Sus scrofa: one gene and its partners. Each later gene encodes a partner of the first gene's protein in a complex. Links are inferred from orthologs where the notes say so. Each region holds a gene or a part of one and is shown in the gene's direction. Other genes may lie near its edges.

What was found.
Region 2: NUP153 (region 1) and NUP160 share a complex: the UniProt entries of both Homo sapiens proteins name them as parts of the nuclear pore complex. The link is inferred for Sus scrofa from reciprocal best matches to the Homo sapiens genes NUP153 and NUP160.
Region 3: NUP153 (region 1) and NUP188 share a complex: the UniProt entries of both Homo sapiens proteins name them as parts of the nuclear pore complex. The link is inferred for Sus scrofa from reciprocal best matches to the Homo sapiens genes NUP153 and NUP188.
Region 4: NUP153 (region 1) and NUP93 share a complex: the UniProt entries of both Homo sapiens proteins name them as parts of the nuclear pore complex. The link is inferred for Sus scrofa from reciprocal best matches to the Homo sapiens genes NUP153 and NUP93.
Region 5: NUP153 (region 1) and NUP205 share a complex: the UniProt entries of both Homo sapiens proteins name them as parts of the nuclear pore complex. The link is inferred for Sus scrofa from reciprocal best matches to the Homo sapiens genes NUP153 and NUP205.

What each region holds. Positions count from the first base shown.
Region 1 is NC_010449.5:13,392,247-13,397,922, reverse strand, and holds the end of NUP153 (nuclear pore complex protein Nup153), read left to right. Parts: intron 1-2,517; coding exon 2,518-2,686; intron 2,687-3,024; coding exon 3,025-3,109; 3' UTR 3,110-4,381; downstream 4,382-5,676. UniProt on the Homo sapiens protein: Component of the nuclear pore complex (NPC), a complex required for the trafficking across the nuclear envelope. Functions as a scaffolding element in the nuclear phase of the NPC essential for normal nucleocytoplasmic transport of proteins and mRNAs.
Region 2 is NC_010444.4:14,837,701-14,844,100, forward strand, and holds the start of NUP160 (nuclear pore complex protein Nup160), read left to right. Parts: upstream 1-2,355; coding exon 2,356-2,361; intron 2,362-2,791; coding exon 2,792-3,113; intron 3,114-3,379; coding exon 3,380-3,491; intron 3,492-6,400. UniProt on the Homo sapiens protein: Functions as a component of the nuclear pore complex (NPC). Involved in poly(A)+ RNA transport.
Region 3 is NC_010443.5:269,303,343-269,309,018, forward strand, and holds part of NUP188 (nucleoporin NUP188 homolog), read left to right. Parts: intron 1-747; coding exon 748-817; intron 818-1,207; coding exon 1,208-1,275; intron 1,276-1,683; coding exon 1,684-1,879; intron 1,880-3,445; coding exon 3,446-3,523; intron 3,524-3,784; coding exon 3,785-3,870; intron 3,871-4,041; coding exon 4,042-4,187; intron 4,188-4,468; coding exon 4,469-4,650; intron 4,651-5,676. UniProt on the Homo sapiens protein: Component of the nuclear pore complex (NPC), a complex required for the trafficking across the nuclear envelope. Required for proper protein transport into the nucleus.
Region 4 is NC_010448.4:18,818,679-18,824,354, forward strand, and holds part of NUP93 (nuclear pore complex protein Nup93), read left to right. Parts: intron 1-241; coding exon 242-368; intron 369-479; coding exon 480-552; intron 553-784; coding exon 785-829; intron 830-2,376; coding exon 2,377-2,493; intron 2,494-3,529; coding exon 3,530-3,648; intron 3,649-4,338; coding exon 4,339-4,456; intron 4,457-4,904; coding exon 4,905-4,988; intron 4,989-5,676. UniProt on the Homo sapiens protein: Plays a role in the nuclear pore complex (NPC) assembly and/or maintenance. May anchor nucleoporins, but not NUP153 and TPR, to the NPC. During renal development, regulates podocyte migration and proliferation through SMAD4 signaling.
Region 5 is NC_010460.4:13,774,277-13,780,696, reverse strand, and holds the start of NUP205 (nuclear pore complex protein Nup205), read left to right. Parts: upstream 1-2,923; 5' UTR 2,924-3,165; coding exon 3,166-3,193; intron 3,194-6,420. UniProt on the Homo sapiens protein: Plays a role in the nuclear pore complex (NPC) assembly and/or maintenance. May anchor NUP62 and other nucleoporins, but not NUP153 and TPR, to the NPC.

The sequences.
Region 1 (5,676 bases):
CTTTTGCTTAGTTTTCTCCAAATTGCATTTCTTTATTATTGTTTTGGTCTTAGTGTTTCTTATGAAATATTTTCCTCAAAACTAGTTTTTAGGGTTTTTTATTTTATTTATTTTTTATTGGTTTACTTTTTTTTTGTCTTTTTACCTTTTTCTAGGGCTGCTCCCATGGCATATGGAGGTTCCCAGGCTAGGGGTCGAATCGGAGCTGTAGCCACTGGCCTACACCAGAGCCACAGCAACGCGGGATGTGAGCCGCGTCTGAGACCTACACCACAGCTCATGGCAACGCCGGATCCTTAACCCACTGAGCAAGGCCAGGGATCAAACCCGCAACCTCATGGTTCCTAGTCAGATTCGTTAACCATTGCACCACGTTGGGAACTCCAGCATTTAGGGTTTTTTAGATTGTAGTAAGAATGTTTAACATGAGATCTGTCTACGCTTTCACCAGATTAAGTGTTCAGTGCAGTACTGTTAACTCTAGGCACAGTGCTGGGCAGCAGAGCTCTGGGAGGTGGGCATCTTACATAACTGAGACTTGGTACCTATTAAATAGCAACTCCTCATTTCTTCCTACCCCCACCCCCTCCCTTGCAGCAGCCAGTCTTAGTTTGTGGGTTTGGTTACTTTCAATACGTCATATGAGTGAAATGATGCAGTATTGTTCTTCTGTGACTGGCTTGTTTGACTTAGCATAATGTATGTCCTCCAGTTTTCCCATATTACAAGATGAATAATATTCCATTTTGTGTATGTATACCATTTTCTTTATCTGTGCTTCCGTCTGTGGACATTGAGGTTGTTTTTACGTCTTGACCATTGTGGATAATGCTGCAGTGTATGAGAGAGTCCAAGTAGCTAAATACCTAGAATGGGATTGCCAGGTCATGTGGTAGTCCTGTCTTTAACTTTTTGTGGAACCTCCATCCTGTTTTCTGTGGTGGTTGCACCACTTTACATTCCTACCAACTTCCCAAGCGATCCCTTTTCTCCACATCCTTGCCAACACTTATTCTCGGTTTTTTAATAATAGGCTTTCTGAGAGGTGTGAGGTAATTAACATCTCTTGATGGTCTGGATTAGCGTTTCTCCCTTAAGATTAGTGAGGTTGAGCATCTTTTCATGTACCTGTATGCCGTCTTTGGAGAAATGTCAAGTTCTTTGCCCATTTTTTAATTGGATTATTTGGTGGGTTGAGGGATTCTTTTGTTTGCTTTTATGGTCTTGAGTTGTAGGAATTCCTTATATTTTTGGATATCAGCCCTTTATCAGATAAATGGCTTACAAATATTTTCTACCACTCTATGTGTAATTTTGTTGAGTATAGGACACCGAAATACCATTTCATAATTCTTTGAACATGGATAAGGCTTACAGATCTTGAATTTCATTGTAGGTTTATCTAACTGGCCTATTTGCTTGCAAAGAACTGGTTGATAGTGTCTTTAGGTCTTTCCTTTTAGACTCTTAGATTCCCCAGAGGAGATTCTTCCAGTCCTGCCTGAGGGTTTATATACTCCTGATTGCCAGTATGCGTTGTTCCAACCTACTCTCAATCTTGGTATTTTCAGTATGGTATCCTTGCTTTTATGTGTGGTGAACCAGTCCAGAGGCTGAACTTCTGTCTTCTGCTAAGTAGGGGAGAATTAGCATCCCATTTGGTTTTGGGGAGGATTGGTCTGGGTTATGCTTCTTTTTTTTTGTTGTTGTTGTTGTTGTTGTTGCTATTTCTTGGGCCGCTCCCGCGGCATATGGAGGTTCCCAGGCTAGGGGTCGAATTGGAGCTGCAGTCACCGGCCTACGCCAGAGCCACAGCAACGCTGGATCCGAGCTGCGTCTGCAACCTACACCACAGCTCACGGCAACGCCGGATCGTTAACCCACTGAGCAAGGGCAGGGACCGAACCCGCAACCTCATGGTTCCTAGTTGGATTTGTTAACCACTGCGCCACGACGGGAACTCCCTGGGTTATGCTTCTTAAACAGATATTCTGCCATCCTTCCTTTTTTTTTTTTTCCTTTTAGCTGTTCTTTTGTTCTCACTTCCAGGCGTAGCTGGAACCTAAACCTTTTGGGTACCCTTAGTGTACATGGAATGACTTGTGTGCTTCCCCTTGCTGCTAGGTTAGTGTTTGGCCCCAGCCAGCCTTTCAGCTTTTTTTTTTTTTTTTTTTTTTTTTTGCTGTTGGCCCCTCTCTCCCTATCTTTGTAAAAATCCCTTTACTGTTATTTTAACATAATTTTTGAAGAAGCTAGAGCTAAATGTGTTTGTTGATTCTGCTGTCTTTAACCAAAAGTCGGCTCTGCCCTTTTCGTCTGGGTGTTGGTTAAGTTGGGTGACTTGTTGCGGAGGGTGTCAGGTATGTACTGTGTCAGTGGAGGAAAGTCTTCATTTTCTTCAAGCGACCATAAGAGAGTTTAACCCTTTGCATGTTTTTGTACATGAAGGGTCAGAATCATTACTAGAAAAACCATCGTTTTTACCTTAATAAAGTTTTTCTGCTTCAACTGTTGTAGGTTCCGTTTTCCAGTTCGGTAGCAGCACTACAAATTTCAACTTCACAAACAACAATCCATCAGGAGTGTTCACATTTGGTGCAAATCCCAGCATACCTGCAGCCTCAGCCCAGCCCTCGGGCTCAGGGGGCTTTCCATTTAACCAGTCTCCAGGGGCGTTTACTGTGGGGTAAGAGAACTTTCTGTGGAAATGGAGAATTTAACAGAGTGCCTATGTGTGCATGAAGGTGTGTGTGTTTGTGTGTTGTTTTTAGCGTCATCATGGTGCCGGATAGTTGAGGTAAAATCAGGTTTGTTCTTCATCAGTTTACCACATTACAATGTGAGAGGATCATAGCCTTAACAAAACAAAACAATCTGTGTGTGTGTGTTGGTGTTGGAGGGTGTGAGGCGTAACTAAATGGGTTTGCTTTGATGATGCCCCCCCATCACTGGTCACATTAATTTTATGATTGGAGAATTTTATCTGAGCATCATGTCACATTATAAAGTTTTTATTTTTCACAGGTCAAATGGGAAAAACATATTCTCTTCTTCGGGAACTTCACTCTCTGGTCGCAAGATAAAGACTGCTGTAAGACGCAGGAAATAAAGGTCACGGTGATTGTACACCATTTTAACAACAGCTGGTGCCCTGCTTTCAGATACTGGATTGTACTATGTGCTGGGTCATCTGAAGTTAGATCTGCCTAAGGACTTCTTTAATTTTGGCATTTTCCTCCGTTTTTCTTTATAGAAGCCCCAACCTCACCTCTCCTGCCCCCCCTTTTTAAAAAATAATAGCTAAGACTGGTGACTGACTCTTCAGCAAAAATATTTTATGATCCAGCAAATTATTCGCTGATTTGGCTTAGGCTGGCCGAACCCAGGAATTGAGTCTGCTCGGAGAATGGCTTTGTATAGAACCTCTTCATCTGCACCACCACGTGCGTTGATACGCGTTTATACAACGCATTGAAATTGTAATTATATCTGAGGAATTCTGTATAGATTAGAGGATTTTGAAATGAATGATTTCTCTGATGAGTTTGTGCTGGTGTATGTGTGAAATGAGTGAGTTGGGTGTATCGTGCACTAAAATTTCTGATAGAGGAATCCTGATTAAAGAATGGTCCATGCTAAGGACTTGTTAGATCTAGTTCGTTCTCCATTTAATAATTATATGCTATTTCTATATTGTCATTCTTCCGACTATCACCTGTCTTGCCTTTTTCATTATTTTATTATGAAACTTGTGTAAATACAATTTTGTTTCTGTACTTTTTTGGCATAACATAAATCTGTGAACTTGAAATTTTAATTTTGTGTTAGAAAATTTTTTTGTTGTTTGTTTAGTCTTGTCTCAGATTTTATTATGTAAATCCCATTATTCAAAGTTGCCTAAATCCATTTGGAAATCTTTAAAAAAAAATTGGGGATTCTTAAAGTGAATTTATTGGCTTTTCTGATCCAGTTTTGTTTGGACCAAAAACCAGTATTGTACAAAGTATTAAGCATATATTTTTATATTTACTGAAATGGACTGTGGTGACTTTGGATAATAAGGAAAAGTTTAATATTAAAGCCATGTTTATTACAGTATAATTAACATGTTAAACCATGGGATAAATGCCATCAATAAAAAATTATGAAATACTTTTTGTTCTAGTGTTAACTCATAGTGAAGGTCAAGTGTTAGTAGAAGAGAACCTTTTTATAAAGGTTAACAGTGGTCAGAAGAGAGATTCCAAAGAACACGTTGACGTGATTTGGAGGGAAAGTGTCTCAAGGTACCTTGCTTTTTGTCTGGTGCTAGGAACCACACCTACTTTGCGCACAAATTGACAAACCTTTTTAAAAGTTGAAAATAAACACAAGCAACTGTTTCTGTTTGTTCTGTTTGTACTTGTATCTTCATTGACAGATGACTCGACAGTGTTTATTGATCACATTCTTGGAGAACTTGCCCAAAGCAGCCCACAAAAACTTTGGTGGTCGTTTTGTGGAGTTTCTTTTGGGTTCTTTTACCAAAAATTTTTTTGAACCAGATATCTTTTCTGTGGCCTTTGCAAGAACTCTTGGGATAGCATTTGATAATTTTATTTTTCAATTTGAATGTATTCTGTGGTGACTTTTATTTTATTGAACTTTTGGTCGAGTCTAGTCAGCAAATGCTGGTTTCAGAGTAGAGATTTTGTGTTTGTGTTTATAATTCTCACCTCATTAAATAATACACATTTGATGTGGACAAATGTGCATTATTTGGGGGCAAAAGATGATGACAAATGCTAGAAGCAAGCCGGAAACCTGTGCGGTGTTGATGCTGAGAAAATGCCTAACTGAATTGTAGCAGGTTTGTTCATTTTTACCCATCCTTTAGGCTCACAGGGATGACTCTCTACTCTGGGGAAGATTTTTTTTCTGGGAAGATTTCATTTCAGATGTGCTAGAAATACTGCATTTTATTTAGTAATTTTTTTTTCCCCACCTTTTTCGGTTGCACCTGCTTCATGTGAAAGTTCCTGGGACAGGGATCACATCTGAGTCCGAGCTGCAGCCTACACCACAGCTTCAGCAACTCTGGATCCTTAATTCACTGCGCTTGGTCAGAGATCGAACCTTCATGCCTCTGCAGAGACCAAGCTGGATGATTAACCCACTGTACCACAGCAGGAACTGCCAGTAATTTGTTTCTAAGCAGGTGACTGAAAACCATACTCAGGGTGGCTTGTCTTAAAAATGAAATCTCTGGCCCCCAGAACGGAGATCTGTAGGACTAGACTTGTATTTGGGACTTGGGACCTGTTTTTTTCCATCTGACTGCTTTAACTCTCAGCTGTAGACTACACATTCATTGTGGCAATTCCACCTGCAAACCTCTCCCTACTTCAGCTCAGCAGCAGCATCTCTTTACTGGACTGGCTCAGGCTGCAGACCCCCTAGCAGCCTTGGGTTTTATGCTCCATACACAAGTGAAAATCAAGTGCTGTTTGTGGAAGAAGGAGAAACATTTTGAAAAGAAGACAGTAAAAGCCCACTTCTCATGCTGGACCAATGAGGAATTGTTTTTAACTGACTACTCTCCGAAGGAAAGAAAGCCATATGCAAGAAGGTTGAATAATCAGGTACATTTATATAATTTGGTTGACAAGTGGGTCAGTCCTCACTAAACGTACCTCA
Region 2 (6,400 bases), on another chromosome or scaffold:
CTTTGAAAATCAGGGCACCAGGAGTCCCTGAAAGTTTTTAAGAAGTGCTATAGACTGAATGTTTACCCACTCTCCCCAGATGAAACTGTTGAACTTAATATGATGGTATTTGAAGGTGGGGCTTTGAGGAGGTCCCGTGTGTGGGTTTGTTCTGCACTAACAAGTAGCTAACTCAATTCCCCATGGATAGTGACCGGGCGTTCCACAAGTTTAATTCAATTCTGACTTCAGATTGTGTGGGTTAAGGGCTGACCCACAGGACTGCCCCCACTTCAGATGCCAATCACAAGTCCAGGTGTTCACCTTTGCTTCTGATTGGCTATAAATCAGAGGTTCCCACAATGCTCTCCTCGGGTTTGGTAAATTTGCTAGAGCAGCTCGCAGAACTCAAGAAACCAGGTTATTTTTTTGGATTACCAATTTATCAGAAAAGGAATTAAAGAATACAATGAATAGCTAGATGAAAAGATACGTAAGGCAAGTTTCCAAATGCAGGAGCTTCTATTCCATGGAGTTTAGGGCCTGGCACATAGATGTATTCTGGTTCATCAACTTGGAAGCTTTCAACCCCATCCTTCTGGCTTTTTGGAGGCTTCATTACAGAGGCAAGACTGATTAAATTATTGGCCACTGTTAACTGAACTTAATCTCCAAAGGTTGGGGTGGTAGGGCTAAAAGTTCCAAACCTCTAATCAAGTGGTTGTTTCCCCTGGCAATCACTGCCCCCGCCCCCAACCTCAGGTTACCTAGAAACTTTCCAAAAATGACTTCATTAACATAACATAGGATAGTCATCCTCTTATCACTAAGGGAATTACAAGAGTTTCAGGTTCTCTGTGACAGGAAGAGGGACAAAGACCAAATATAATGTTCTTATTATAAATTACCATCCCAAGGGATTCAATTGTGAGGGTGGAGCCCTCACGAAAAAGGGATTGGTGCCCTATTAAAAAAAGACCCTACAGGGAGTTTCCATCATGGCTCAGTGGGTTAAGAGTCTGACTAGTACCCATGAGAGTGCAGGTTCAATCCCTGACCTTGCTCAGTGGGTTTAAGGACCCACTTTATCCCATGAGCTGTGGTGCAGGTCGCAGATGCAGCTTGGATGTGGCACTGTTGCGGCTGTGGCGTAGGCCAGCAGCTGCAGCTCCAATTGGACCGCTAACTTGGGAACTTCCATATGCCACAGGTGCAACCATAAAAAAGCAAAAACAAACCAACAACAAAAAAAATCCCCACAATTTAAGGACACGGCACAAGAGATGGCTGTCTATAAATCAGGAAGCTGACTCTCACCTGACGCTGAATCTGCTGGTCTCTTGATTTTGGACTTCCCAGGCTCCAAAACTGTGTGCAGTACGTGTTAGCTGTTTAAGCCACCCAGCATATAGTATTTTGTGAAACAAGAAGAAACAAAATGTAAGTGGTGTTTAGGAACAGTTAGAGTGTATTTGTAAAATGGAGAGGCAGGGAGAACAACAGCAAAATAAGATCAACTGGAGTTGTTTCCATTATCTAAGAATGAAATGTGGAAGACTGTTGAGGAAAAGTATGAATGTAAAGGAAAGACAAGAGAATGTTCCTGATATCTATTGCTGGCTAACAAATTACCCCAAACTTAGTGACTTTTGACTCTCTCACCAGACATCTCTCACTTTAAGTAACTTGAGAGCCCTTCCATGTGGTCTCTCCCCATGATTCCTCCAGGATGGCAACCCCAGGATAGCTGAATTTATTAGATGGCTTCCCTCCTAGTTAGCACTCCAAGAGAGAAACAGACTCTGTTAAGGCTAGTCTGGGAGTTTCTGTCCTGGTGCAGCGGAAGCAAATATGAGCAGGAACCATGTGGTTTCCGGTTAGGTCCCTGGCCTCGCTCAGTGGGTTGAGGATCTGGCGTTCCCATGAGCTGTGGTGTCGCAGAGGCGGCTCGGATCTGGTGTTGCTGTGGCGGTGGCATAGGCTGGCGGCTACAGCTCCGATTGGACCCCTTGCCTGGGAACCTGCATGTGCCGTGGGTACGGCCCTAAAAAGGACAAAAGACCCAAAAAAAAAAAAAAAATTAAAAGGCTAATCTGGCACAGAGTCACTTCTGCTGTGTTCAATGAGTTACAGCAGTTACAGAGCCCTCCCAGATTCCAGAGGAAGGGACAAAGACCCACCTCCTGATGGGAAAAAGTCAAAGAATTTGTGGTCGTCTTTAATCTGTCATGTTGATACATGAGATTTAGACTAACTTTCCCCTTGAAGACTGGCATTTTCCTCCAAATCCAGCATCTACTCTGCCCTAAATGCAGGTAAAGCACAAGACCTTCCAAACAGATCACAAATGGAAGATAAAGGAAATTTCTTTCACGTATGCAAGTGAGTAGCATTTAGGGGCTTCAAGCAGGTAACTGCATCAATGTTTAATTAAACACATTATGCTTCATTATACAAGAACACACGAATACAGTCTCTCGAAAAAACCCAACACAAAAGGCCACTCTGCCCTTCACTCCGCCCCCAACCCACGTCGCTGAAAGGTGAAGAAAAGGAGACCAGGCGGAGATTCACTGAGTAACACGGGGAAGCAAGGAGAGGCGATCAAAAGCTCGAAATCCAGTAGATGGCGCCCATCTGCGTGGCCTCCTAGGACCTCGCCCCTCCCTGGAGGCTCTGCCCAGCCGCTGCCCGCGCCGGAGTTTTTAAAATGGAAACAAACCCGGCTCCGCCCCCTTCCCTGAGGCCGCCGGGAAAATGGCACCGCCCCTTGGGGCTTCCTCGCCGGACACGCAAAGGTTCCTGCAGGTAGATCCTGCAAGCTCCCCCTGCCTCCTCTCATCTGGCTTCCTCCTTGCCCACCCTGTCTCCGGCCAGCTCGGTGGAAGCCTCACAACGGTGGGTCGGACAGGCCCTAGACCTTTCCGGGTTTCTTCACCTGTCCGCATCTGTGCTTGCTCCGCCCCCGGAAGTGACGACAGCCGCCCGGCTGGGCTGGTGTCCCGTCAGGCCTCGCGGCGGCGGCGGCGGGAAGATGGCGGCGGCGGGAGCCATGGAACGGAGCTTCGTAGAGCTCAGCGGAGCTGAGCGCGAAAGGCCAAGGCACTTTCGGGAATTCGCAGTTTGCGACATTGGTACGGAAGCATCCAGTAGGGCTCGATGCAGCTCCTGCCCTCGGGATCTTCCCGTGGATCCCTAAATCTCTGTCCTCCAGTTCATCCTCCTGAGCCCACATGCCTCCAGCCCCGGATTCAGAGCTTCATTAGTGTTCTACTTCTTTCTCTTTTTTTCCCCTTTTTGCATGGATTTTCAGTCTGTCACCCTCTGCTTTCTCAGCGCCCTCAGTCCGTGTCATCCCCTGAGAACCACGTGTGCAAGGGTGACCACTCTTCTTTTGCAGGAACTGCAAATGCAGTGGCCGGAGCTGTGAAATACAGTGAGAGCGCGGGAGGCTTCTACTACGTGGAAAGTGGCAAGTTGTTCTCCGTCACCAGAAACAGGTTCATTCATTGGTAAGTGCTGTGTTTGTCAAATCTCCCGAAAGGGCGTTTTGTTCGGCGGCTGAATTTTCGTGACTGTTCCCAAGGTGTCGTTTATTCTCCGAAGTGGTTATAGACAGGAAAAGAGAAAGACTGTTTCCTATTGATATCTGAGTCAGTGGAAAATTAAGCAGGCACAGAGTTCTGGAAGAGGTGCCCTCCCTGGCAGCACTAAAAAGAAGAAATGTAGCTTCGAGGGTAAAGCCCCAAAGATCAGTTCTAAGCATGAAGCCGTTATATTTTTATAGTGCTTTAAGCTTCCTTCATTCTACAAATTAGTCTTGAGTTTTTACATGTCAAGCACTGCTAGGTGTTCTAGGAGTGCAGGGATGAACAAAAACAGTCTCCATTTTCATCCTGCAAGATATAGTAGTGTAAGAATAGATGTGGACACATCTTTCATGGGGCAGTTTTGAGAAGGAAAAAGACATTAAGCTGGAGTTCCCTTGTGGTGCGACAGGTTAAGGATCTGGCATTGTCACTGCAACAGCCCAAGTTGCTGCTGTGACACAGATTCTTTCCCTGGCCGGGGATCTTCTACATGCCTCAGGTGTGACCCCCAAAACGCCATTAAGCTAATGACCCCACATAAGTATGTAAATGAAGTTTTTCATACTTCCCTCAGAGGAAAAGTATGAGAAGCTAATGGGAAAATCAGATGTAATTGGCGTGTCTGGGAAGGCCTGAAGTAAGTCACATTTCATCTGAAGGAGGAAAGGTTAGCTAGGCATGGAGTTGGGAGAGAGAGCAGTTTAGCAAGTGGGATCACCAAATGGAGAGTCCACAAGGTGGAAAGAACTTGACAAATTTGAAGAACTGACTGAAGCTCTGTGCGGCATAAGTGCATTGGGCAAAATGGAAAGTGATATGAGTGATGCTGAGACTAGGGAGGTAAGCAGGACTCCGATCAAGAAGAACCCTCAGGTCCTTTTCAGGGATTTGGGATTTTTATCCTAAGTACATTGAGCAGTCATTGGAGAGTCTTAAAGTGTTACTAACATGGTCAAAGTCACACTTTAAAATAATCAGTCTACTTTGTGGAAAGTAGACTTGGATTGGATGGGTACAGTATGAAAGAAGAATTTGCTTTCATGGTGAACCAAGTAAGATATGCTGGTTGTGGGATTGGCTAGGGAAAGAGAATTAGATGGACTCAAGATACACGTGGAGTTCCTGACAGGCCCCCGGGTTCCCATGTGGCTTAGCAGGTTAAGTATCCAGCAGTTGTCACTGCTGTGGTGTGGGTTCATTCCCTGGCTCGGGAACATCCACATGCCTTGGGCGCAGCCAAAAGAAAAAAAAAAAGATACACTTAGAAAGTAGCTTCAGGAGTTCCCGTCGTGGTGCAGTGGTTAACGAATCCGACTAGGAACCATGAGGTTGAGGGTTCGGTCCCTGCCCTTGCTCAGTGGGTTAACGATCCAGCGTTGCCGTGAGCTGTGGTGTAGGTTGCAGACGCGGCTCGGATCCTGCGTTGCTGTGGCTCTGGTGTATGCCGGGGACTACAGCTCCGATTCGACCCCTAGCCTGGGAACCTCCATATGCCGCGGGAGCGGCCCAAAGAAATAGCAAAAAGACAAAAAAAAAAAAAAAAAAAAAGAAAGTAGCTTCATTAGGACCTGGTAGTGGACTGAATATGGGGTACAGAATGGTGAGGGAAAAAGGGAGCAAGGACAACTCCCTGGTTTCCCATATGACTAACCAGATACTGACATATGGAATATGGGTTTGGGAGAGATGTAAATAATTCTTTTAGGAGTTCCCGTCGTGGCACAGTGGTTAACGAATCCGACTAGGAACCATGAGGTTGCGGGTTCGGTCCCTGCCCTTGCTCAGTGGGTTAACGATCCGGCGTTGCCGTGAGCTGTGGTGTAGGTTACAGACGCGGCTCGGATCCCACGTTGCTGTGGCTCTGGCGTAGGCCGGTGGCTACAGCTCCAATTGCACCCCTAGCCTGGGAACCTCCATATGCAGTGGGAGCGGCCCAAGAAATAACAAAAAGACCAAAAAAAAAATAATAATAATAATTCTTTTAGACATACTATTGAAGTATCTGTGTAGTAGCTGTTTGACAATGTCCAGAAATCATTGAAATTTTCAGGCTTAGAAGAAAGACCTGTGTTAGAGATACAAAGCTCATTTACTTAAGAAATATTTTCGAGTGCCTGGTATGTTCCAGTCAATGTTTAGGACTGGGGACATAGCAGGAAACAAAGCAGACAGTTCCTCCTCTGGTGGAGGGGCAGGCAATCAACAACAAAAACCAAAAAACCCAATATAAGAGTTACCATCATGGCACAGCAGAAACAAATCCGACTAGGAACCATGAGGTTGTGGGTTTGATCCCTGGCCTCATTCAGTGGCTTAAGGATCCGGACGTTGCCATGAGCTGTGGTGTAAGTCTCAGATGCAGCTCGGATCCCATGTGGCTGTGGTGTAGGCCAGTGACTACAGCTCTGGTTAGACCCCAAACTGCCCTAAAAAAGACGAAAAGAAAAAAAAACCCAATATAGTTTGTCAGGGGATAAGTCGAATAGAGAACAGGGAAGCAAGGGAAGAAAAAGGGAATTATTATGTTTAGTGTTTCATGTAGGGTATTCAGGCAAGAGCCAGTGATAAGTTGACATTTGAGCAGAGAAAGTAAGAATATCTGCAGGATGAGAATTTTAGGTAGAACTTTCCAAGAAAAAGGTACAAAAAGTGCAAAAATTCTGAGACAGGAGCTTATGTGTTGTTTTCAGAGAATGGTAAGGAGCTATAAGACTGCAGCTGAGTGAATAAATGTTAGAGGAATAAGGCTGCCAAGGGCCGGATTAGGGCTTTGTCAGCTATTTTAAGGTTTTTGACTTTTACTCTGAGTGAGGTCGGAGGTTTTTAAATAC
Region 3 (5,676 bases), on another chromosome or scaffold:
TTACTCTGATGTGCTTACCTAAGAGTTCCCACCTTTTTACATTCCCGCCTACTGCCAGGCCCCAAAACCAGTGCTCTTGGGAAGCAGGAGACTGAGATGAGCGTGGCTTTGCTCCAGCCGTTGAACTGAGTGGAACCCGCTGGTCTCTTGGCCCCTGTTTGCACGGAGCGAAGGAACATGAAAAGGCCAGACGCGAGGGCCTGCTGTTCTTTTCCGTGGGACTGTCGGAAATGTATGAGTCATGAGAGCTCTTTTTTTGTTGTTTTGTTTTTTTGCCTTTTCTTGGGCTGCTCCCATGGCATATGGAGGTTCCCAGGCTAGGGGTCTAATCGGAGCTGTAGCCACCGGCCTACGCCACAGCCACAGCAACATGGATCCGAGCCACATCTGCGACCTACACCACAGTTCACGGCAACGCCGGATCCTTAACCCACTGAGCGAGGCCAGGGACCCGACCCGCAACCTCACGGTTCCTAGTCAGATTTGTTAACCACTGAGCCACGACGGGAACTCCGAGTCGTGAGCGCTCTTGTTGGTTAACTCTGTAACATACAGTCGTGTTTCTTAAGAGGTGAACCTGATTTTATCCAGGGCACCCTTTGCGTTTGTGTACAAGCAGGTACCAAGCGCCAGGAGTTAGGCCGTGACTGATAGAACGTGGAGAAGAGGCCACCAAGGGGAGGCGGAGAGGGGAGCAAAGGGCTGGGTGAGCGAAAGCCTGGTTTCCAACATGTGTTTTCTTTTCAGACCCAAGTTTTGGGAGAATTTAACCAGCCCCCTGTTCGGGACCCTGTCTCCTCCCTCCGAAACATCCGAGGTGAGCTGCGGGGCGGGAGGGCCGGGGACTGGAAGGCCAGACTGTGAGGCTGAACTGTAGGCAGCGACACCTCTCTCATCAGTCAGAATGTTTGCTTCTCTAGCAGCTTCTTTCTCAGAGAAGGGCCTGCTTCCTGTCCCCTGGTGTCTTGCCGCGGGAAGGAAAGTAGCACGCCCTGCTCTGTGTTGGTGGCTCCGTGGTCGCCTCCACCCATTTGGAGACACTGTGGACCTGACCCTTCTGGTCTTTCGAGTCAGATGCCCACTCGCATTCCATAGGGCGGGTGCTTCCTTGCTTCCTAAGGGTGGGGTCCCTGCTCCGGTCCCTTCGGGGGAGGGGCGCCAGGGACAGGCTTCTCACGTTGCTGTTTGCTCTGCTCTCCCCTCACAGCCCAGCATCCTGGAAACCTGCGCCCTAATCATGAAGATAATTTGCTTGGAGATTTACTATGTAGTTAAGTGAGTCCTTTCCCCTTTGGAGGTTTTCATGAAAGGTGTGTGCGGGGGGCCGTGGTAGTCTACACTGAAAGTGCGTGGCTGTATGAGCCACGGCGAGGAGAGAGCTGGTTTGGAGCCATTTATGGAGGGCCACTGCTCTGTGTCCCTGGCCAGTCCATTGATGGCGTTTATTGTTCGAAAGTTATTGTGAAGCAAACTCCATGTGCTCGGGATTTTATGGAGGAGGAATCCTGGAAAAGGCCTCAGCCTAACCCATTATGTTGAGCCAGAAGTGTGAGCTGATCCGGAGCCGGCTGCCTTTAAGCCCATGTGAGGTTGCTTTCTCTGCCTCTGCAGGGTCTGGGCCCGTCGCATTCCCACCTACTTTTCAAACCTAACTGGAGGTTGTGTTTTTTCTCAACACTCTAGGGGCTCCTTAGACCAGTCATTAAAAGATACACTCAAGAAGTTTTCCAGCGAGAAACGCTTTGCCTACTGGTCGGGGTATGTCAAGTCCTTGGCGGTTCACACGGCCGACACGGAGGGCAGCAGCTGCACCTCCCTGCTGGAGTATCAGATGCTGGTCTCTGCCTGGAGGATGTTTCTCATCATCGCCGCCAGTCACGTAAGAACCTCCTGGGGCGAGGTTGCGTGTCGGCAGCCTAGCAACGGTGTGCTGGGTTGCCTGCCAGACAGAGCCCCTTGGGATAAAGAATGAATCAGGATTTTTCTCTGAGACTAAAATGTCACAGGTTCTGTGCCAAATGTGGAATATTTGAGGGCATTGGGTCCAACAAGAGACCCTTAAGGAAAGTGCAGAGAAGTCATTTTAAATCCCTTCAGACACTCATGAAAGCCTCTTGCAGCCACCTGTGCGGTCCTGGGTAGGTCTCGGCTCCCACCCTTCGCCTCCCTCTCGTGCACAGGGAGAATTGCCTTCTCATGCTCTGGGCCTGTGGACACTGGGCAAATATTTGTTAGCCAGTCAGCAGGTAGTTGTTAACAGCTGCAGCAGCACTCTCTAGAGAGAGGGGGAATTTGCATTTTGCCTTGGCTTTGTGTATGTGTGTGCACGCGCGTGCGCGCGCGTGTGTGTGCACTTATGTGCACGCGCATCATGCTGTGTGATAAGGACTTGGTGTTAACGTGTTTTTCCCTAGAGAGTCCAGATTAATATCCTGATTTCATTGATAACTTCAGCTTGATAGATGCCCTTTGTTCCAGGCACACTCTTACATCTTCTGTGACTTGTCCCTTGTGCCAGCCTGCCCACAGCCTTGGAGGCTGGCTGTGGCATAGTGGTTTTGGACCCCTGAGGCTATAGACATACCAGAGGTCTTAGCCATCTTTGGGCAATGATTGATTCGCCAGGGAATAACTTGTGTGTCACCTGCTTTTTAGGCCCTACCTGGGCAGCATTTCTTGAATTGTAGCTCTAAGAAGCCTACTGTCCTCTTTTCCCCGAAGAAACCTGTCTGGTTCCGTCTAGGACATTGATCGTTCATTCATTCATTGGATATTAATGGGATGCTTACCATGTGCCAGGCACCAGGGTGGCTGTAGTGAACCAGGCAGATGAGGTCTGTGCTCTCATGGAGAGTGGCTCATGAGAGAAGCAAATTATCAACAAACTTACCAAGACACAGAGGTTGGGATTGTGCTGGTTCCCCGTGAGGGGAACCGGGGTGATGTGGTAGTGACGCCGGAGGGGGACAGGAGGGGTCGGGAGGCCCCCTCTGGGGAGGTGATGTCCGCCCTGAGACCTGACGTGCAAGGAGCCTTCTAGGCAGAGAGCCCGTAGGGGAGGGGGTCCAGGCAGGCGGAGTCACAGGCTCCAGAAGTGGGAAGAGCTCGGCCTGTTCACAGAGGAGGGAGGCGGCCAGTAGGGCTGGAGCAGGGTGAGCACAGCGGGGTGACCAGCTCCTAGGGGACTCCCAGGCTTCACAGGGGAGTTTGTTTTCCAGAAGGGTTCCCCTGGGAAGCCCCGAGGGTCTGAGCAGAGGGAGGATGGTCAGGAGGAGGAGGAGGAGGCGAACCTGGGCTTGGTTCTGATCATGTCTAAGGGCAGCAGAGAAACAGCAGGGCCCTCGAGCCCCGTTCGAATCGGGGAGACAGTGACGAATGGCAGACAGAGGGTCCCCCTTTCCTGGCTTCCAAAGTCTGACGGACGTTTCCGCCTGGCCCTCTGCAGGCGGAGATAATGCACCTGACCGACTCTGCAGTGCGTCGCCGGCTCTTTCTGGACGTGCTCGATGGCACCAAAGCGTTAGTAAGTGTGTCTGGGAGGTTTCTCGTGCCTCCCGGGGAGAAGGCCTCCGAGGTCAGATAGCAGCTCACAGGTCTGCAGCCGCACCGCGGTCAGGTCGGGGAGGCGGAGGTCAGCTGCCGCCGTGCCAGCCCCCGGCCTCTTCCTGTGACCCACCCCTGTGAGCTTGCTGCAGGAAGGCCTGAAGCCGAAGGTGCCTGTGGATGGAGCTCAGACCTCGCCAGCTCGCGGGAAGCTGACTTACCCCATGTGCTGTCTCCTCAGCTCCTGGTGCCCGCCTCCGTGACCTGCCTCCGCCTGGGCTCCATGATGTGCACTCTGCTCCTTATCCTCCTCCGGCAGTGGAAGAGGTGAGCCCTCTGCCGGGTGGGCTGGCCTCTCATCCTCTTTACTGGGCGCGAGGAGGGCTGGCTTTCCGCCACGGGGCCTGAAGGACCCCCTGTGAGGCCCGCTGCCCCGCGGGCGTCCTTGTGGCCTTTCTGCGAGGTGTGCCCCCGCCCTCCTCTCCGTGCTGTTTCTAGAGAGTTAGGCTCTGTGGATGAAATCCTCGGACCCTTGACGGAGATCCTGGAGGGAGTGCTGCAGGCAGACCAGCAGCTCATGGAGAAGACCAAGGCCAAGGTGTTCTCAGCGTTCATCACGGTGCTGCAGATGAAGGAGATGAGAGGTGGGGGCCGGTGGGGGCCAGCGGGGAGTGGGCCGAGTGGTCTCCTTGCCCCTGCTGCCAGCCGGCGCGGGCAGAGCTCCCTCCGCTTTAGAGCCAGACATTTCGCCTGTGAGGCTTGGGTTTTCCATCGTGGAACTCTTGTCTGCTGGAAAACTCTCTCTCCTCCCCTCCCACGGGACAGGACAGCACGGCCCCTCCTAGCACGCCGCACTCCCAGCGGCCGGCCTGGGATGGACAGCTTGGTGAGCGGCGTGACCGCGCCCCTCCCTGTCTGCTTGCAGTGAGTGACATCCCCCAGTACTCCCAGCTGGTGCTGAACGTCTGCGAGACCCTCCAGGAAGAAGTAATTGCACTCTTCGACCAGACCCGCCACAGCCTGGCATCGGGCAGTGCTGCAGAGGACAAGGACAGCATGGAAACTGATGACTGCTCCCGGCCCCGGCACAAGGACCAGCGTGACGGGGTGAGGGACCGCCCTGGGAAGCTGGCTGTCCTTCCCACCTGCTTCCACAAAGATGAGTTGCTGCCCACTCTGTGCCAGGCCCTGGGGGGATTAGTGAATAAGACAGATAGGCACTGCGCTTGCGGAGGTCACAGCCTGGCGGAGGAAGCTGGTCAATCAGATTGTGCAGAGGAGCGTCGGGAGTCCATCCTGGCAAGTCTAGCAGGGGTGAAACACAGGGAAAAGGTGCAGTGTGGAGGTGCCGCCTGATCTAGGGACTCAGAGAGAAGGCGCCCTCTGGGCAGTGACCTGAAGCATTGGTAGAGCCGGGCAGGCCGAAGGCACAAGGAAGATTCAGGCAGCAAGACTAGCACGTGCTGAGCTCATGGTCGCCTGGAGCCAGCCAGGCCGAAGGGAGGCCTGAGAGCGGGGCAGGGACGACCAGCGGCCTCGTCGGCGCCTTTGACCCGGGTCCTCCGAGGACCAGGAGAGGATCTGAGGAGTTTAAGATTAGCCCTTGAGAGAGAGTGCGCTGGGTGTGGTATGTAGAACAGTGTTTTTTCAACCGGGCAGGTTAAGACCTACTAATATCTCAGTTTGGTTACAACCAGCAACTTTTTAGTAAAGTAGAATAAAACATCAAAGAAAATCTGTGTAAGCTTTGCAGGAGGTAAGGGGAGGTACAGTGTGATGAAAACACGCAGGTGTGTGTGCGCTGGAGCGCACTGTGCAGAGTGCCCGCTGCTCCGGGCGGGTGAAGGTCGAGAGAAGTGAAAAGCCCCTGGGGTGAAGAGTTGGGGCAGAGGGATCCAGGACTAGACAGAAGGACCACTCAGGCAGGGAGGAGCGCAGCAGGAGGGGAGGTCGTTTTCACTCTGGGTGGCAGCTGAATCGGGCAGTGGCAGTTTGGGTGCGGGGAGGGAGTGCGGCTGAGAGGGTCCGGTCTCCACAGGCTCCCTGAGGTGTGGCTGACCCCGAGGTGCAGGTGCCCACACGAGGTCTGCCCGCGTCTCTTCCCGCCTTCCCCCGCACCACTTCCTTCCCTTT
Region 4 (5,676 bases), on another chromosome or scaffold:
TGCTGGTAGTTTACTACCATGCTGTTTCCTCCACTCTGTACTTGGGATGAAATTGAGGACAGGGTAGTGAAGGGACTTGGCCAAAGCTCTCCTTTCCAAACACTGGCTGGGCTGCAGGAGCAGGTGCTGCTGGGTCTTTGGAGTCAGTTCCTATAGTTCCTGGTGGGGTGGGCTGGCGGGGGGGGGGGGTGAGGGTCAGAAGGCAGTGTGGTTGTGACCCATTCTGTCCCCCTTGGTGCAGTCAGCCATGAGCCCGGTGACCCTCCCTGCATGCGGAGGCTGAACTTTGTGAGGCTGCTCATGCTCTACACCCGCAAGTTTGAGTCCACGGACCCGAGGGAGGCCCTCCAGTACTTTTACTTCCTCAGGTTAGACTGGCTTTTGAACATTTACTTCAGCTGGTTTTGATTTCTGCCATTGTGGGAATGACAGAGTCCTTGAGGCCACACCTGAAACCAGGTTGTTTGTGTCCATTCCAGGGATGAGAAGGATAGTCAAGGAGAAAATATGTTTCTGCGCTGTGTGAGCGAGCTGGTGGTAGAAAGTCGAGAGGTATGTCTATTTCGTTTTCCACCCTCTGATTTCCAGTATACATGTTCTCAAGCTAATGTGATACCTGATGAGGTCTGAGTTTGGTGGATGTGGCCAGGAGGGCTTTGGAGTTTTCTTTGCTTTCTGACTGTGAAAATATTGATTCAGTCTCATTGTTCTTGTCTCCAAAGAATTGTGGATTATGTGTATATCCTCATTCAGTAAATTGAGTAAACTTTTTTTGTCTCTGCAGTTTGATATGATTCTTGGGAAACTAGAGAATGATGGAAGTAGAAAGGTGAGTAAAATGCACCGCTAGAGATGTGTGAATTTACAATTGGGGGTTTATAATTGTCAAAGGAATATAGTTAGATTTTGGAAGTCAAGGTACTGAAGATGCAAATTGGAATGAAGTTGCCTCTTTTTAAAAACAAAGAATGAAAATTACGGGCCCCAAACGATGGCCTTGATTTTGCGCACATTGATGTTTCTCCTTAAAATGTGTAAATTTGTGATTCGAGAGCGTTTTAAATTACGTTCAGAATACTGAATCTGTTCATGCCTGCCATTTTTTACCTGAGAAGGCTACGTTCTGCCATTCTTAATTTAGAATATATGCAAGAAAGGAATAGATTATGGCACTTACTCTCCCCAGATGGGAAAGTTAGAAATCCACTTGACCTGTCTCAAAAGGTAGTTTCCGAGGACTCAGAACCCTACACTACCCCAGAGATGCAGCTGCTGCTGTGGGCCTTAGATTCCCTGAGACCCATCATGCCTATTGGGCAATGTAGCAGAAGGGGCAGAGGCCCTGGTGTCACAGACCAGTCCTGACCCCACTCAGTCATGCTCCTTGTGGGGTCACCTGCCTCTCTCTTGTCACTGCTGTGGCTCACATTTGATTCCTGGCCCAGGAACTTATGCATGCCAAAGGTGTGACTTACAGCCAGCAATTGCAAGATGAGCTCACACCACGTACACTGTCCAGTGTAGAAGACCAGTTGGCAGTGCTGGTGACAGTGGCCATGCTTATTGAGTAGTGACAGCTGCCTGTGTTGAATGCTTAACATGAATTATCTCACCTAATTGCCACAGTAACCTAAGACAGTGGGAACCCTTATCTTTTTTCCAAGGGAGGAAGTAGAGACAAGAGAGGTTAATTATATACTCAAGGTCGTATAGCTAGTAAGAAAGGGAGCTGGAATTTGAACCCAGTCCTTTTTAACCCCAGAACCTCTTCACTGATCTCTCGAGCTGCCATCGTCGGGGGAGCAGGTCACCCTGATTGGTCCAGCTCAGATGGAGAATCAGACGGCCAATCAGACGTCACGCTATCTCCCCTCTCTCTGTGGTTCCTAAGGCCTCTCCCATAGTCTCTTGACCATTTGGTTGCAGCTGAGTGATTTTTTTTTTTTTTAAATATCCTGACACCACTTGCCATATGTTTTTTCAGGACTGGGTTTCTTTTGCCATCTGTCTTAGCAAATTCAAAATCTTTCAGATATTTTCTCTAAGCCTCCTAATTTTTTCCCCCTACTCATCAGCAAAGTTGAAATCACTGATAATTTCTCCTACTCTGGATCATTTTTTAGAAAATCAGAAAACCCAGAGTCTTATTGCTGACTCCTCTGTACCGCCTGTGAGTCTGCCTCTTCGTGTATAGTTTCTTTGGTCCTTTTCATATTTTCAAGAAAGCCAGAGTCTAGCTGATGAAATACATGCATTGCCCAGGGCAAGCATTTTCAGTTAAAGAAGTTTTCGGATCCCAGTTGCTTCTCTGTGTTTAAAATAACAGTTCTATTCCCCCGTTTCTCTCTTCCTCTCCTCCATAATTTGTTTTGTCAGCCTGGAGTCATAGATAAGTTTACTAGTGACACAAAGCCTATTATCAACAAAGTTGCTTCTGTGGCAGAAAACAAAGGACTGTTTGAAGAAGCAGCAAAGCTTTATGACCTTGCCAAGGTAAAATGTGCCCTTTCCTTCTTCTGCACTTTATAGATCTGTCAGCCTTTGGGCATTAAATGCACAAACATTTCGGAGGTGCTGTTGTTGTACCCCTCTCCCTGCTAAGGCATTTTCTCCTAGTGCTCAGGCAGTTCATGGTCCAGTCAAGGCGAAATTCCCATTTTACAGAATTGTTTCTGCCCATAAGGTATTTCTGGCCAAACAAAAGCAACATATTGAGAGGACATCCTGAAGGCCTTGAGCTGTCGTCTCACTGGCAGCAGAGTAAGCATCCATCATGTTTGGGTAGTGAAGCTACCGGTGCAGATGCCCGGTGCTCCCCCTCTGGGCAGCCGCAGACGGGCTGGTGATGGGGGTGTGCTAGGGAACAAAACAGCAGCCCAGGAGTTCTGAGAGAGCTGGAGTAAGCAGTGCTTCCTCAGAACATGCATGAACACTGATGACTCTGTGGCTTCAAGATTGCATTCTCTCCTTTTACCAACTGAGAAAAGTGGGCAAAAAGAGAGTTGTAATTCATTTTTTAAATTTAAAAATGTTTTGATTGTGGTCTGATTAAAAGGTATAAAAATGTAGTAATAGGGAGTTCCCGTCGTGGCGCAGTGGTTAGCGAATCCGACTGGGAACCATGAGGTTGCGGGTTCGGTCCCTGCCCTTGCTCAGTGGGTTAACGATCCGGCATTGCCATGAGCAGTGGTGTAGGTTGCAGACGCGGCTCGGATCCTGCGTTGCGGTGGCTCTGGCCTAGGCCGGTGGCTACAGCTCCGATTCAACCCCTAGCCTGGGAACCTCCATATGCCTCGGGAGCGGCCCAAAGAAATAGCAAAAAGACAAAAAGACCAAAAAAAAAATATATATATATATAGTTATAATCCAGTGTACCTCTTGATGGCCTTCCCAGAGGTATATATCCATGTCATCACCATCCAGTCAAGAAACAACAGAAATTCCCGCTTTTGCTTTGGTTATTTAGTTTTTTCCCTCTTACTGATTATTTTTTAATTGATTCCTCCCTTAATTTACCAAAATCGAACAGAATGCTGACAAGGTGCTGGAGCTGATGAACAAACTGCTCAGCCCTGTCGTCCCCCAGATCAGTGCGCCACAGTCCAACAAGGAGAGGCTGAAGAACATGGCGCTCTCCATCGCAGAACGGTAAGAGCCGGCTCCCAGGGGCCCTGGGGCTCCCAGCACCCACCCAGCTGCATCTTCGGCTTTACTGTAACGTCTAAGTTCCCCAGAGTGGCTCTACTGCCTCGTCACTGCACCAGCAATGAGTTCCTGATCCCCTACATCATAACCAACACTTGGTCCTGTCACTTGGTAAACATTTTTGCCAAGAAGAAGGGTATGAAAGCATTTTAATCCTACCTAATTCTAGGCATTGTACCCATCTGCATACCATTAGCAGCCATCCCAAAGGCATTTTGGAATGGAGCTAGTGATGGATGGATGGGGGAATTCTTAGAGGTGTAGTGGCCAGTGTTTCAGGATCTACTTTTATCCCCATGACTTAGCGGAGTTATCCTACTTCAACTGGTGTAACTCCCAGGCTGTGGTGACAGGCCTCACTTTCTGTGCCCTCTACAGATATACCTAGTGAAGTTGACCCAGAGAAAACTGGGTTGGAGCTGCTCACTGAAAGGGAGGCCGAATATTTATAGGTGGATTTCTATCAAGTCCACCATTAAATGCTTGACCATTTCAAAGGAAACACTATTTTCTACACCCTCGTTCATCTCATCTAGAGAGGTTTTGACATTAATCACATGCTATCCTCAAGTTATAGATTGCACCGAAATTCCTCATCTACTCATACTTCCCTTCCCTCTTTTTGTGCTTCAGGTATAGGGCTCAGGGAATCAGTGCAAATAAATTTGTGGACTCCACGTTCTATCTTCTGTTGGACTTGATCACCTTTTTTGACGAGTATCACAGTGGGCATATTGACAGAGCCTTTGATGTAAGTTTCAGGAGGGGTGTTTGAAGTGCAAGTTAATGTATGCCCTTGAAAAATGAGAATGTTTCATGGGACTCATTTAAAACAAAGGAAATGTCACTGATAGGCCTGTTAAGTGAAGAAGGACAAGTATGATCCTGGGAATTTTAAAAGGATTTCTGTGTTGCTCTTTTTTTTTTCTTTTTCTTTTTTCTATTCCTTTCTTCTTTAGTCTAAAAGCAGAATGGTTTCTCGGAGTAATTTGAAATCTCTCAATTGTGAAACTACCTCAGAAAACAAGGATAGGAATTGAGTCAGTCAGCAAGTAAGAATCAAAGCCTTTGTACTAGGGGGTAGCATTTGCTATTAAGAAGCCCGTTATGAACATGTTAGATGCTGACTATGTGTTTAAGGAAATGAAATGACTCTGATGGTTGTATCTTATGGGGATGCTGGGGTTTGTTTTAAACAGATAATTGATCGCTTGAAGCTAGTGCCTCTGAATCAGGAAAGTGTGGAAGAAAGAGTGGCTGCCTTCAGAAATTTCAGTGATGAGGTGAGTCCTTTTCTTCCTGAAATAAAAAATTCCTTTTTCCCCACTTCCACTGAAAGCTTTTGTTTTAATGTAGCCAGTCACTTTAAGAGTCCTACTGCAGTCACCGTCCACACTCAGATGAGTCCAATTCCAGGCTTCCTGGGCTGGTTTTTCTGCAAGTAAACGTATCCCCATTAGATTATTGTCTCAGAAAAGATACTTGCCTTAGTGATCAAACATGTTCTTGGGAGAAATAGGTTTTTTTGTTGATCCTTTGAGATCTGGTTTAATTCTTTATTATCCACTTGTCCTAGAGGTTATGTCAGTGATCTTATCTGAGTAGTTCCATTGGGCATAGAAACGTGCGTCATGATACACTTGCTTCCTTCCCTTCTCTGAGCTGTTTTGTCTCAAGAAGCAGGTGCAGTGACCATGGACTCACTTAGCCCCAGAGCCACCACCATCTCTGTAGGGTCTATCACATGTGTCGATGCCTAGCCCAGGGTGCTCGTCTGGGCTGCACACTGGAATTGCTAGACCTTTAAAAAAATCTTCATGCACAAGCCCAAAAATTCTGGTTTCCCTGATCTGGACTGCAGCCCAGACCTCTGCTGGGTATTCCCATGTGAACCTGGGGTAAGACTCTTCTCTAGAATCACAGGCAGCAGGGCCAGCTGCCTAGTTCAGGGATGTTGCTGACAGTGTTTCA
Region 5 (6,420 bases), on another chromosome or scaffold:
GCGTTGCCATGAGCTGTGGTGTAGGTTGCAGACGTGGCTCAGATCCCTCGTGGCTGTGGCTCTGGCGTAGGCCGGTGGCTATGGCTCTGATTTGACCCCTAGCCTGGGAACCTCCATATGCCGCGGGAGCGGCCCAAAGAAATGGCAAAAAGACAAAATAAATAAATAAATAAAAAATAAAGATGAGAAGAGAAAGAGAAGTCCATATAGGAAACAAAAATAAGAACCATAAAGATAGGAAGATACCTGAGGGTGGGGTGGGGTCGGGGTGTTGCCCCACAGGTTGAGGGAGAAAAGAATTGCTAAGGTACTTGGAAAATTGCCAGTGGGATTTGACAAGTGATCGCTGGTGACCATACTGAGACCAGTTTTAGAGGAGTTATGATGCCAATATCTCAACTGCTATGGATTGAGGAAACTTGTAAGAGAAGAAGTGTGAGTTGATGGGGGAGTGGGAGCTGCAGGAAGTTAGCGTTCCTTCAGGGAGTTCCCTTCATGGCTCAGTGGAAACAAATCCAGCTTATATCCATGAGGACACTGGTTCGATCCCTGGCCTCATTTTGTGGTTAAAAATCCTGCCTTGCCGTGAGCTGTGCTCTAGGTCACAGATGTGGCTTGGATCTGGCACTGCTATGGCTGTGGCGCAGGCTGGCCGCTGCAGCTCTGATTCAACCCCTAACCTGGGATCTTCCGAGAGGGAAGTGTGTAGGTTTAAGAGTATATGTGGTGAAGGCTCATAATGGTTGCTCTGAGAAAGAAAACGTTTGAATGCTATTTCCTGCCAGTTTCTGCTCAATATTCTTCTCACTCTCATGCCAGTCTTTGGGGAAAATCCCTCTGCCTTTTCATTCTTTCTTCCTCTTTGCTCTTTTTTGTTTGTTTGTTTAGGGCTGCACCTTTGGCATATGGAGGTTCCCAGGCTAGGGGTTGAATCCGAACTGCAGCTGCTGTCCTACACCACAGCCACAGCAATGCCAGATCTGAGCCACATCTGTGACCTACACCACAACTCACAGCAACACCAAATCCTTAACCCAGTGAGGGAGACCAGGGATCAAACCCAAATCCTCATGGATACTAGTCAGATTCTTAGACTGCTGAGCCACAATGGGAACTTCCCTCTTCACTCTTTAAAACCGCTTTCATTGTAATCTGGCATTTGTCTCTATATAACAACCACTTTCAAAAAATCACCAGTGACTTTTGTGTTTTACCTAAGGTACATTGTGTCACTTAATATTATTTGTTCAAAAGAATGACTATATGTATGCTTCCTTTTTTTTTTTTTTTTTTTTGTCTTTTGAGGGCCGCACTGGCGGCATATGGCGGTTCCCAGGCTGGGGTCTAATCGGAGCTGTTGCTGCCGGCCTACACCACAGCCATAGCAACACCAAGATCCAAGCCGCCTCTGCAACCTACATCACAGCTAACGGCAACACTGGATTCTTAACCCACTGAGCGAGGCCAGGGATTGAACCCACAACCTCATGGTTCCTAGTCGGATTCGTTGCTGCTGCGCCACGATGGGAACTCCTGCTCTTAACAACATACTTTGTGATTCTGTCTAAATTATTTAACTCCAATTTCTAACAGTGAAATGGGAACATAAACTATTTTCTCCCAATCTCAGTGGAATATCGGAAGAGTTGATAAAATGAGGTTGTAAGGTACATGGAACATCTCTGATAGGATTGTAGGATTGTTTCAGGGATTGAATGAGATAATATAATAACAACATCAACATTATAAGATAATGTAAAATTCTTAATAAATATCTGGCATATGGTAGCACATAGTAATGACTATATTTTAGTTTAAAAATAGCGAACGAGGAGATCCCATTGCTCTACAGTGGAAATGAATCCGACTAGTATCCATGAAGATGTGGGTTCTAGCCCTGGCCTTGATAAGTGGGTGGGGGATCCAGTGTTGTGGTGAGCTGTGGTATAGGTTGCAGACACGACTGCGTTGCTGTGGCTGTGGTGTAGGCCGGCAGTGGTAGCCCAAATTTGACCCCTAGCCTGGGAACTTCCATATGCCATTGGTGTGGCCCTAAAAAGAAAAGAAAAGAAAAGAAATTAGCAAACTAAAATTTAGCAAGTAAAAAAAAGAGGGCCAATTATTTAGGGGTGCTCAGGTGAACAAATATTTGGTGTTTATGAAATGATTTGTCTGGAAATTGCTTCCAAGTAATTTCTCATGTTGGAGGTGGGATAGAGGAATTGACCAGCTAGTGAAGCTGGACATTCATTATCCTTTTTTTTTTTCCCTGGACATTCATTATTCTAACTTTGCATACATTTGAAAATTTTTTTCTTTTTTCTTTTTTTGTCTTTTCTAGGGCCACAGGTGTGGCATATAGAGCTTCCCAGTCTAGAGGTCAAATAGGAGCTACAGCTGCCTGCCACAGCCACACCACAGCAGTGTGGGATCCAAGCCTCATCTGCGACCTACCACAGCTCACGGGCAACAGCGGATCCTTAACCTGCTGAACGAGGCCAGGGATTGAACCTGCAACCTCATGGTTCCTAGTCAGATTCATTAACCGCTGAGCCATGACCGGAACTCCCTACACTTGAAATTTTAATAATAAAAGGTTATGATTGTTTCACTGTATGTAACTATGTTGATGCAAATCACTTGGTATATACATATACACGAAATGCAATGAAAATCTAGTTTGTAACAAATTAAATGGCTTTTTGAAGTTTATCTATCTTTCACCCCACTCCACTCTCCAAAGTAAAGGAGTAATGCAACGATTTAATTTGACATATAGACAATGATTGGAATTTATGGCTTTCATAATATCATAAGTGGGCATCATTTCAGAAACTAATCTTTTTCTGTACCACCTAACCAACTTTAGTCCTTATAAGAAAAAAAAAACTACACTCCCCAGCATGCATTGCACGACATCGTCAACACGAGGACCTCGCGTCGCCGAACTGGTTGCCCTCGCCTTATTTGAATGGGAATAATCCTGGCGAAAATTGACGTCTGTGGCTCAGAGTAGATTTTCGAGTATTTGTAAGACAAGCTCGGTAGAGCGTGCGGTAGGAAGGAGACAGCGTGGTACCTTTATGTTCAGGCATCGCCCCAGGCAGCCTCGCCCTTTTCTGGGGCTTCCGTGCGGCAGGAGGGCTCCGTTAGTGCGCTTCCAACATGGCGACGCTGTTGGCGGTAAATTCAGGTAGGTGCGGCCGGGGCAGAAGGCAAATTGTGGGGCAAGGTGCTGATCGGTTCTTAAGGGAGAGACCCGGGCTGTGGGGTTCCTCGGAGTCCAGTCCCCCATTTGTGCACAGTGCCCGCTTCTCTCCAGCCGGGAGCCTAGATTCCCGCTCCTCCCCAGTTTGAATGGCGCGCGTCGGCTCTGCGGGTGTTAAGAATTGGGCTTTGAGGGTCGAGGCGAGGAAGCTCGGTCCACCGGAACCCGGCGTGGAATTCTCGCAGTTCAAGGCCAAGCCTGTTCTCTTCCATTACTCACCCCATTATGTGTCCGTGATCCAGGTTTCATATGTAGTTTTCCAGCAATGAGGTCAGGGGACCTGAGATATTTTTTTCAGCCCATGCCGAAACTCGTACTTTGTATTAGGCACCTGGATCGCTCATGGAGGTTGGGGGGTTATGCAGGAAGCGAGGTTCCTTGGTTATGAAGCCTGAAATTTTGAAGGTGGCCGAGGACTACCATGACTCCCAGCTCTGCAGTTGTGGCCTGTCCCTGGATGCTTCTGTACCTTTGGAACAGTAGATCCTCGGGACAGGGCAGAATCTAGAAGGTTGTAAAGAAACTCTGGAAGATTTGGATTGGGCAGTTCTCAATCTGGGGCGGAACTCCCCCTCCCTGCGGGGGGGCATTTAAAAGAGTGGGTGCATTTTGATTGTCCCGGTTCCTGGGGTGCTCTGCTGGCGCCTAGTGGGCGGGTCTAGGTTGCCAGACATGCTGCAGCGGCGGGAGCGTTCCTGAAAATCAATTTCCTGCTCTGAATGTCACTGTCTTGTTTGAGCCATGCTAAGCTTTATGGGCAGTTAAGAGCACATCGGTGAGGTAAATCCTTGTAAAGAATCTCACTCAAAGAGAGCTCTTTCTTAGGGCGCCTTTTCTTTCTGTCTCTACGCAGTTGGTTTTTTTGTTTTTTGGTTTTTTTTTGTTGTTGTTTTTTGTTTTTGTTTTTGTCTTTTTAGGGCCGCACCTGTGGCTTAGGGACGTTTCTAGGCTATGGGTCGAATAGGGTCTAAGGCTGCCGGCCAGTGCCGCAGCCACAGCGACCCTGCGTGATTGGAGCTTTGTCTGAGACCTACACCGCAGTTCAAGGAACACTGGATCCTTTAACTCACTGACAGGCCAGGGATGGAACCCACGTCCTCATGAATGCTAGTCGGATTGGTTACCAGCTGAGCCGGGATGGGAACTCCCTATGCTGTTGTTTTGTGTGTGTGTGTGTGCTGGTTTGTTTTCACACGACTGATACTCTTGAAAACGTGTCTAAATCTGACTTTTGCAAATCAAACCATTTCAGAAACACTATGATAAATTATTTTGTAATAATGAAGGATTATGTTTATTGAGCACCTCCTTTTCCCCAGGCACCATGCTAGGAGCTATCTTTTATCTCATTTAATCCCCTTTATCCACCTATGGAGTAGCTACTATTAAATACTCCATTTTACAGATTTGGAAATAGAGTGGTTAAGTAACTTCTTCAGGGTTATACAGTTAATGATTCAAAGTCAGTCTTTGATGATACTTAAACGTGTTCCTACTGAAGCACAAGCTAATTCATTTCATTACATAAAATTTCCATATACCTGAATTTAGTAATGAAGTTACTTCCTTAATCTTGCTGTCTTGCCCTCCTAACCCAGATGTAAACTTAAAACAAAGTTTTCATGTTATACGTGTGGTTATATACTTTTCTTTAGTACATGCTCATCCTAAATTAGTATCATTAAACATAAATCATTGAAGGAAAAGGAGTTGCCAGCAATTTCAAAGCATATATACATTGTATAGTGAGGCCTCCTGGCAGTGGTATTTAATTGGTCACATAGAAAGGAAACTTTTTGAGGGATTGAACTCTGGCCACAGTAGCCAGCTGAGCTGCTGAGGTGACAGCACTGGATCCTTAACCTCCTGAGCCACAAAGGAGCTCCCAGGAAGCATTTTTAAAAGCCCAGGCAGGAGTTTTTTTTTTTTTTTTTTTTAGGGCAGCATCTGCACCATATGGAGGTTCCCAGGCTAGGGGTTGAATCAGAGCTACAGCTGCCACTCTACACCACAGCCACAGCAATGTGGGATACAAGCTGGTCTGTCTGTTCCCAGGCTAGGGGTCTAATCGGAGCTGCAGCTGCTGGCCTACACCACAGCCACAACAATGCCAGATCAGAGCCTCGTCTGCGACTTACACCACGGCTCACGGCAATGCTGGATCGTTAACCCACTGAGCAAGGCCAGGGATTGAACCCGCAACCTCATGGTTCCTAGTTGGATTTGTTAACCACTGAGCCACGACGGGAACTCCCAGGACGATATTTTTAAAAAATTAAATGTCCAGGCAAGGAACCCAAATGCCGGTTGACAAATGAATGGATAGACAATGTGGTCTGTAGATACAATGGAGTGTTATTCAGCCTTAAAAAGGAAACCCTGTCCTATGCTGCAGCATGAATGAATCTTGAAGACATTCTGCTAAGTGAAATAAACCAGTAGCAAAAAGACAAATACTGGATGATTCTACTTAGATGGGATATTGAAACATATTGAAAGTAGCCACATTTTATAGAAACAAAGAATACTGGAAAAGAGGTTTGTCTACCACCTCCCTTCACATTTCACCCTAATCATCACTTGCTCAGTGACTCCTTCCCTTCCCTGACCTCCCTGGCTAGGCCAGTTTCCTATATTATAAAAAAATATATGTATATAAATGTATATATGTAAATATTTTTTGAACCTATACCATAGCTGTGACCTGAGCCAGCGAAATGATGATGCTAGGTCCTCAACCTACTGCCCCACTAGGGAGCTCTTTGTATGTGTATATATATATTTTTGTTTGCTTGTTTTTTAGGGCTGCACCCAGGCTAGGGGTCAGATTGAAGCTGCAGCTGCTGGCTTATGCCACAGCCACAGCAGTGCCAGATCTGAACCACATCTGTGACCTATGCGAAAGCCGGATCTTTAACCCACTGAACGAGGCCAGGGATCAAACCTGCATCCTCATGGATACTAGTCAGATTTTTAACCAACTGAGCCACAGTGGGAGCGCCTTTGTGCATAGTTTTGATGTGTTATTGGATGCCTCTTCATAAATGGGAAGAAGTGGAATTGTCTCTAGAAATCACTAAGCTTTGTCAAGCTAAGTATGTAAACTCCAAAGAAAGCTATTCTTGGAAGTTCCCTTGTAGCACAGTGGGCTG